2 linked regions of the Neurospora crassa OR74A genome follow. The protein of the gene in region 2 purifies or fractionates together with the protein of the main gene of each other region. This does not show direct contact. Links are inferred from orthologs where the notes say so. Each region holds a gene or a part of one and is shown on either strand. Other genes may lie near its edges.

Region 1 (3,283 bases), on a different chromosome or scaffold from region 2:
TAAACTAACATGCTACCTCCCACGTGTAGAGACCCACGCCCTTACCGATTCCTGCTGGAAGAAATGCGTCACCTCCCCCATCAAGACCAACCAGCTCGACAAGACCGAGGCCGTCTGCATGGCGGACTGCGTTGAGCGCTTCCTGGACGTCAACCTGACCATCATGGCCCACGTGCAAAAGATCACCAGGGGTGGCAGCAAGTAGGTCTCGCGCGCCGATAGGAAGGCGTGGGAGGATGCTTATCAGGAGGAGGAAAAAAGATGAGAACGGGACAAAAAGAAAAGAGGAGGCAGAGGAAGGAGGATGGCGAAAACGGTGACTTGTTTCCCTTGAGGAACTGGTTGTCCCGCGGGGCTGGCTGGCTACGTTTTTCGGTTGGCTGGTCCTGCTTGGTGGGCTTCTTGGGAGACTTGGAGGATGCGGCCGAGGTATCCGACGCTTGTTTTCATGGTGGTTCTGGCTGGGTCTGGTACACTCGGGCTTACTACGACGGAACGGGGGTACAGAGAAGCACCCTTTGCTAGGGAACCTTTGTTGATCCCTGCGATAGGGCTTGCGATTGAGGTTCTGGTCACAATTCTAAGAGACAGTCATTCGAGGAATTGTTACGGTTACGCCTGAAGGCTTGTACGATATATGTGATGGGACAGGGGAAGGATCAAAGGTAGAACTGGAAGGGAAAAGGGTTTATAGGGCATGGGAATTTGTTCAGGAACTTAGACAGTATGACAGGCGGTTCTTGTAGCATGATATGGGAGCGCGCGATAGCGGGATACTCATCTTCATCTTCAAACACAGACCCAATGCGCAGTGCAGGATAATTGGTTATAGAAGTGCAGATAACAATGCGACAATGAGTCCATGGTGATAGCAAGAATACAAGATGTCAGATTCAAGTCTTAGAGCAAGTAGATCTATGGCTTGCAAGGGAGGAGTTTGGATAATGGCCCATTTGGTCATGTCTGATGGAACGGGCAGAATAGTTATAAAAACTTTCATTTCCATGCCATGGACCAAACGCCAAAGGGGTATCAGACGCCGACTTCTTTTTCGTTAAACAGTAAAACCCATGTATCCCTTGAAGATAGTTTTTATCCCGAATCTTGTGTATTTCCCATAGCTATGAAATCGCTAGTTTAGACAAGGCCGAGCTTGGTGGCAGCAATGTCGAGGGCATCGACATCGGCAGTGAGGCGAGCGAAGGCCTTCTTGGAACCGTCAGGGCTGTGAGTGGAGTTAGCAACAAGAACCATATTAATGCCGGTCCATAGGGACCAAAACTAACCGGATCAGGGTGTTGATCTTGACGGTGTCAATGTCATAGAGCTTCTTGAGAGCCTGCTTGATCTGGGCCTTGTTGGCCTTGACATCGACGATGAAGACGAGGGTGTTCTGCTCCTCGATCTTCTTCAGGGCACCCTCGGTGTTGAGAGGGTGGACGATGACCTTGTGCTCATCGAGACGGGGCTCGTGAGGGATCGACTTGCGAGGGTACTTGGGAGCCCGAGACAGCTGAAGAGTCTTGGGGCGGTGGAAGGTGGTCGAGTATCTGACCTTGGTCTTCTTGTGCGAGTGCACCTAAACAGAGAAAAAGAACTCTAATCAGCATCAGAACGTCACCAGGGGGGAAGGGATCGCGAGTCGTCGCAAACTTACACCCTTGAGGGCAGCCTGGGCAGCCTTCTTGGCCTGAGCGCCCTTACCGGCCTTAGAGGCACCGCCTATCCATAGAGTCCCTCGTCAGCAAAAGCATTCGCCTGGAGCAAGATGATGCCAGAATCTTGTCCAAACTCGCAAAGTCTGCTGCTGCTTTGGTGCATCACCTCCGAATGCCATTGCGCGACACGGAGGATCCGCATTGTGCGCGGGGCGAGCATATTTGTCGAGCCGTTCAATTCATTCTTGGTGGAATCGTCGCTGGTGAGATTTTGAGGTTTCTTCAAGTACCTTTCTTGGTATCCTTAGGGGCCATTGCTGCGATTTCTGCTGTCGTCGGGCTAAGAAATCGGGATTCTCGCTGGTCGTTGTCGGAGAGGAGAAAGTTCACTTTTTGGCCAAAATTTGGGGGAGGAAAAAGTGTGCGCGCGGGATTTGTGTGGCTTGGTAGTGTGGCTGAAGTGGTACTGGCAGGGGTTGAGCTGCGCAAACTGGCGCAAACGGGCTCTGAACCACACCAGAATATCCACTTTCGCGAAATATGCTCCACAGTATTTTGAATCTCGACCTCCGATCATCACTTTATCGCTACGCACTCCGTCATTCAACCTTGAAGGTCATGATGCGCCCTCCGATCCAGCTTTCCTCCTTCTGCTCGTGGTCTGTCGGATGAAGTCGGTGCAGGACACCTTGGATTTTCACAGCTCCAAGCCTCGCTGTTCTGTGCCTATCACGACCTCCAGACAAGGACGTGGTGTAGTTGTCTTGCTAACTACAGTGTCACGAACCACCAATCGAAATCGAAAACCAATCTCACCGAGACGGATCACAGTATCGACAAGATCGACTATTTGCGGCTATATACTTGTTACAGCATAGCACGCGACGAAGGACTATGGCACCCAAGAAAGGAGTAAGCAAGAACCTTGCAGCTGGGCGTCCGCCCATGGCTACGCGACCTAAGAAAAAGGGAGTGGTCAAAAACCTGGCAGCAGGCCGTCCGCCCACGGTCACAAAGCCCAAGTCACTTGCGCGGAAAACCACGAAATCCATCATCAACAAACTCCATCTCCTAGAGAAGAGGAAGGTGCAGGCTATGAAGAAGAACGATAACACACAGGTCGCGGCAATTGAGGCGGAGATCGAGGCTTTGGGTGGTATCGAGAAATATCAGGAAGCAAGTCTCCAGGGGCAGAGACATGACCGAGGCGGCGACAGCTCCAACGTGCTCATGGAGTGGGTTGGGCCGTACCTCTCATCCGAGGAGTATAAGGAAGGCCGCTTGCGCATGCTGGAAGTTGGAGCGCTGAGTACAAAGAACGCATGTGCTCAAAGTAACCATTTCGACATCACTCGGATCGATCTCAACAGCCAAGAGCCTGGGATTCTTGAGCAGGACTTCATGGAGCGCCCGTTGCCGAAGGACGAGTCGGAGAAGTTTGACATCATCAGCCTTTCTTTGGTGCTCAACTTTGTCCCAGACCATAAGGACAGAGGCGAGATGCTGGTCCGCACGACACAATTTCTAACATCGCCGAAGCGGTTCTCCGGGACAACCGCTGCATTCTTTCCAAGTTTGTTCCTTGTGCTACCGGCCCCATGCGTCACCAACTCGCGATATCTGGA
Region 2 (4,175 bases):
AGAGGCCAGCACTCTTTGTGGGATCCAGCTCGAACTTGGTCGTACCCTGCTTCTTGGAGTAGAACTGGCTCGTGATGTGATCGTACAGTGTTGGGTGAGAATCAGATAGAAGTAGATAATCCTTGCCCGGTGCATTCCGGAGGTGATCTTCTGGGCTCAAGAGATGACTTTTGGTCTCCATGGCAGCCAATAGACGAGGCATGTCGATGAAGGGAAGGAGGGCGACACCCTGCCAAGCCATCTTTTTGCCGTTGAGATCAATCTCGAAGTCATCGGGGTAGAAATGGCGGATCTCACTGGTCTCCTCTAACATTAAGGAGTGGAACACCTCAGGGATGGCATGACGAGACGCGGCCGGAAGGACGCTCATCAGTTGCTCAAATGGCCGCGAAATTCTGCCCTTCTCAAACTTGATCTCCATCTTGCCAAGATCAACAAAGTCCGCAGCGAACGGCGCGTAATGGTAGGGGTAGAACCACTCCCATGAGGGGCAGCCCTGGAAATAATACTCCAGAACCCACGCAAGACCTTCGGCATACGCACGGCCAACCTTGTGACGGAAATCAATGTCTTTACGGTCAACCTTGAACTTCTGCTCATAGTACCGGTCCGCATAGCCCTCTTCCCACAGCCTGACCGAATCGGTAGGCTCAGCATCACTCTCGCTGATCTCGGTCACCTCGGTACTGCTGGCCTCGGGACCAGCGACAGCATCTTCGATAAGCTCAGCCTTCCTTTTACCCAGGGCTGCTGGGGGAGCAGCTTGCTCTTCGGTGGCCGGGGCGGCCGCAGCAGTTTCAGCAGGAGTCTCAGTGGACTCAGCACCGTTCTCTGGAGTGCTCGTTCCTTGCGCCATCATGCTCTTGATCTGATCCTTGAGCACGCTAGCGGCACTCTTGTTGGCAACATTGGCCTGGTCAACCGCCTGGCGGTTCACCACCATGTCATGAGTGATTGATGGTTGCGGAGCCTTGCCCGGAAATTCGTTAATCTTGTGAAAGGAAAATCCAGCTGGCGGACCACTATTCTCAGCCGCCTGACGTATTTGCCTACTGCCTTGGGCTCTCCTTTGTCGGGCCTCATCGGCAAGCTTGCGCCTCTTGAAACCGGCCTCTCGTCGGTCTTCGGTTTCCTTTCTCCTCCTGAAAATGGCATCTTCCTGCTTGGCCAAGCCGGCCATGATGTACTGGACACGTTCAAGGTCCGCATGGCCATCTTTGGTCAAATATCCGCCCATTACGGGCAAGTTATCTTTCCAGATGGCCGTTAGGGTATCAATTCCGTTCTCCCTGATCTCCAATGCAGGCAAGTGAGGCAAGAAATCGTTTCCGACAAAGAAGCACATGAAAACCCAATCGTCGATGGCCCTTTCCAAGTTGAACTGGAAGGGAAGGCCAGGAACGTCAAGTTCAATGGCAAGGTACTCACGGAGAATGGAAACGTGGAGCCAGATAAAGGGCTTGAGAGGCACGACTGCGTCCTTCTCGTCGAACTCGCCATTCTTCTCCTTTGCCTCGCCCTTGCAGTTCATGGCGTCATGTCCCTTTTGACCGCAAATCTTGCACAGTCTCGGCCTGCTGTCTTGGGCAAAGACGTCTTCACGCAGAACACGGAAATGGGGCTCGTGCGTGGCTAAGCCAAGCATGATAAGGTCGGCGTCGAGTCCGTAAATGACATGCCGAGTATTGGGGTCATGGTTGGGGGAACCACGCTGGGAGCGGACGAATTCCATGATCTTATGTTCACCCTCACCCGGAACGGTGGCGTCAGAGATAATGACCTTGATGTTGGCCCAGGCAGGATCGGTATTGAGCTTATAGGAACACCAATACCTGAGACTGGCAGCCAGGATGTCCATGAAGGGCGTACCAGGAGTGATGGAGTTGGAATCGAAAGCCTTCTTGACGACGACCTCTACGGGTTCTTCCTCTTGGGGCTTGCCGTTCTGTTTCTTGAGCAGCTCGACGAACTTTTGCTTGTCTTCCTCCTTTTCCATGGCTTCCCGGGCAGCGCGAAATCGTCTGGACCGTTGCTGGTTCATTTTGGCTCTGGGGGCAACGCCGTCTGTGGTGAAATTATGTTAGTCCCGTTTCTTAAATCAAAGTAGGGCGACAGAGATGGTGCGAAAGAGAGATACGCACCAACAGCAATCATGAGAAGCTTCCGCGGGCGAACCATGTTGACGACGCGATCGGTGTACTTGAAAACCTCGACCATCATCTCTTCCTCGTCCTTGGGCGCGGGGCGGTCCTCGGGGTGAGAGCAAGGATGGACGATGCCGTTCATGTCGAGATACAGGTTGTCAAACTCCTCGCCATTGGGATTTGGCTTGGTCGCGTCAACAGGAATGACGGTGCCATCGGGCATAGTAATCGGCTGATCCTCGATGACGGGCGAGATGATCTTGGGATACTTGGTGGACAGCCACCTGAAAGCCGCCGGAATACCCATCTTGCAAAGGCGATCGAGTGGTCACACGAATAGCACTTGTAGGGACGGTAGTTAAAATGTGGTTGGCTATAAAATGTAGTAGGTAGTTGTCGCGAGAAAGATCGGGGGTAGTCGCTGAACGAGATGGGTGGTTCGGAAAGTGAACGTAGTGGGTTCTTCAATTCGCACCGACGGAAAGCGAATAAAGGAATGTTGATGGAAGCAGACTGAGGTATAAGGTCGGTCGAAGGGATCGGATGTATGGGCAACAAAAGATGCTGATGCACAACACGCGCAAGGTGACCGCAGATAGAGCCACCAAGGTTCACCTCAAAGTGCACTGTGGAAACGGCGCAGCAAGATTGAGGACACGCCTTGTCGAAAGCCCAATTCAATGAATCCGGGCTAAATTGACACAGCAAAGCGGTCCTTGCAGCAATGCCCGTTGGATAAGACGTGAGCGATTGCAGAAGTGGTGATGGAGTGGCAGTGGGATGAACTGGGGAGAGAAGGACGAGACCGGAACAGAACGCCGAGCTCTGACATGCGAAAGAATTCAAGGGTTCAACGAGTGCCAAGACCATGCGGCAAGGGACGATAAGCACTGATAAGACCAATGACAACGCCACAGCAGCCTGTTATCGGCTTATCGAAACATCACATGACGCTCTATGATCAACAGTTGTGCGGGCTAACAGAGCACGGTATGATTGAGGCGCAGGAACCGTAGAGGTACACACACCCGACATTTACTTATCCGAAAGACTACCTATACATAGCATTACATGGAACTGCACGATTATATACCTATCATAGTACTTTCCATGAGTCCCGAAACGACCCTAACCAAGGTATGAAATGATAAATACTACTACCTAGAGGTGTAGGTATCTAAGGTACTTACCATGCCTTGATGATTGCCAATTGTTGCGCGGGCTGGACTTTTCGTATGAAAGGACCACCTGTCCCCTAGTTTCATTCCGTTGGCCTCCGTTGGTTGTATACCTACTAGCCACATGGAAGCAACTAGGTACATACCTACTTCCTGGCTTCGTTTGTGTGCAGCGAGTCGGGTGGTTGTAACAAGGCGGGCCCTTCCATTTTCCAATCGTTTTGTCCGGGTACATCCAAGATCCAACGGAACCTCAGAGTGCTAGGTAGGTATACACTAAGCTACAGGTGCAAGTACCACTACGCTCGCTATAGCGGGACCACACAGGTACCTACCCCTGACTGACACCCCGACGACGCAAGAGGTGGTGATCCGACACCTCTTAACCCTCGAGCATGCGCGCACCCCGCCGTACGCCATGATCCTCCAGTCCCTCCCTCCATGGCATCCAAACTAGTCCACTACCTCTATCCTCGAACATGTTCTCGACCATTACGGCGGCGCCGGCCAAGCAGTCGGTGAGCGAAACCATTGCCGTCCTCAGCGGCCGTCTCAACACCGCGACCCTCCTCGAAGACCGCCGCGCCGCCATCCTCGGTCTGCGCAGCTTCTCCAAGCAGTACCCGGCCTCAGTAGCCTCTGGCGCTCTACGAAGTCTCATCGGGAGTCTGAGCAGGGATGGCGAGGATGTCGATACGGTCAAGGTCGTCCTCGAGACCCTGCTGATGCTCTTCAGCCCCAACGAAGACAGCCCCGAAGCTTCAGAGGAGATTGCGCTCTGGCTCGCCGACGAGTTCACCCAGCGCCAGGAGAACATCACGCTGCTGCTCGATCTGCTCGACACGACCGACTT

Evidence for each region. The genes of interacting proteins can lie anywhere in the genome.
Region 1: the proteins of NCU01643 (region 2) and NCU06226 purify together in Saccharomyces cerevisiae (affinity purification with mass spectrometry; 3 studies listed by BioGRID). This does not show direct contact. The link is inferred for Neurospora crassa OR74A from reciprocal best matches to the Saccharomyces cerevisiae genes RAT1 and RPL25.

The regions. Positions count from the first base shown.
Region 1 is NC_026503.1:1,965,014-1,968,296, forward strand, and holds NCU06226 (60S ribosomal protein L25), read right to left. Parts: upstream 2,150-3,283; 5' UTR 1,974-2,149; coding exon 1,949-1,973; intron 1,723-1,948; coding exon 1,658-1,722; intron 1,580-1,657; coding exon 1,287-1,579; intron 1,226-1,286; coding exon 1,138-1,225; 3' UTR 647-1,137; downstream 1-646. Other genes in the region: small zinc finger protein Tim8, read left to right, coding at 30-205; NCU06227 (hypothetical protein), read left to right, coding at 2,553-3,283. UniProt on the Saccharomyces cerevisiae protein: Component of the ribosome, a large ribonucleoprotein complex responsible for the synthesis of proteins in the cell.
Region 2 is NC_026502.1:2,830,040-2,834,214, reverse strand, and holds the start of NCU01643 (5'-3' exoribonuclease 2), read right to left. Parts: upstream 2,947-4,175; 5' UTR 2,452-2,946; coding exon 2,142-2,451; intron 2,065-2,141; coding exon 1-2,064. Other genes in the region: NCU01644 (intracellular protein transporter UsoA), read left to right, coding at 3,802-4,175. UniProt on the Saccharomyces cerevisiae protein: Possesses 5'->3' exoribonuclease activity. Required for the processing of nuclear mRNA, rRNA and small nucleolar RNA (snoRNA) precursors.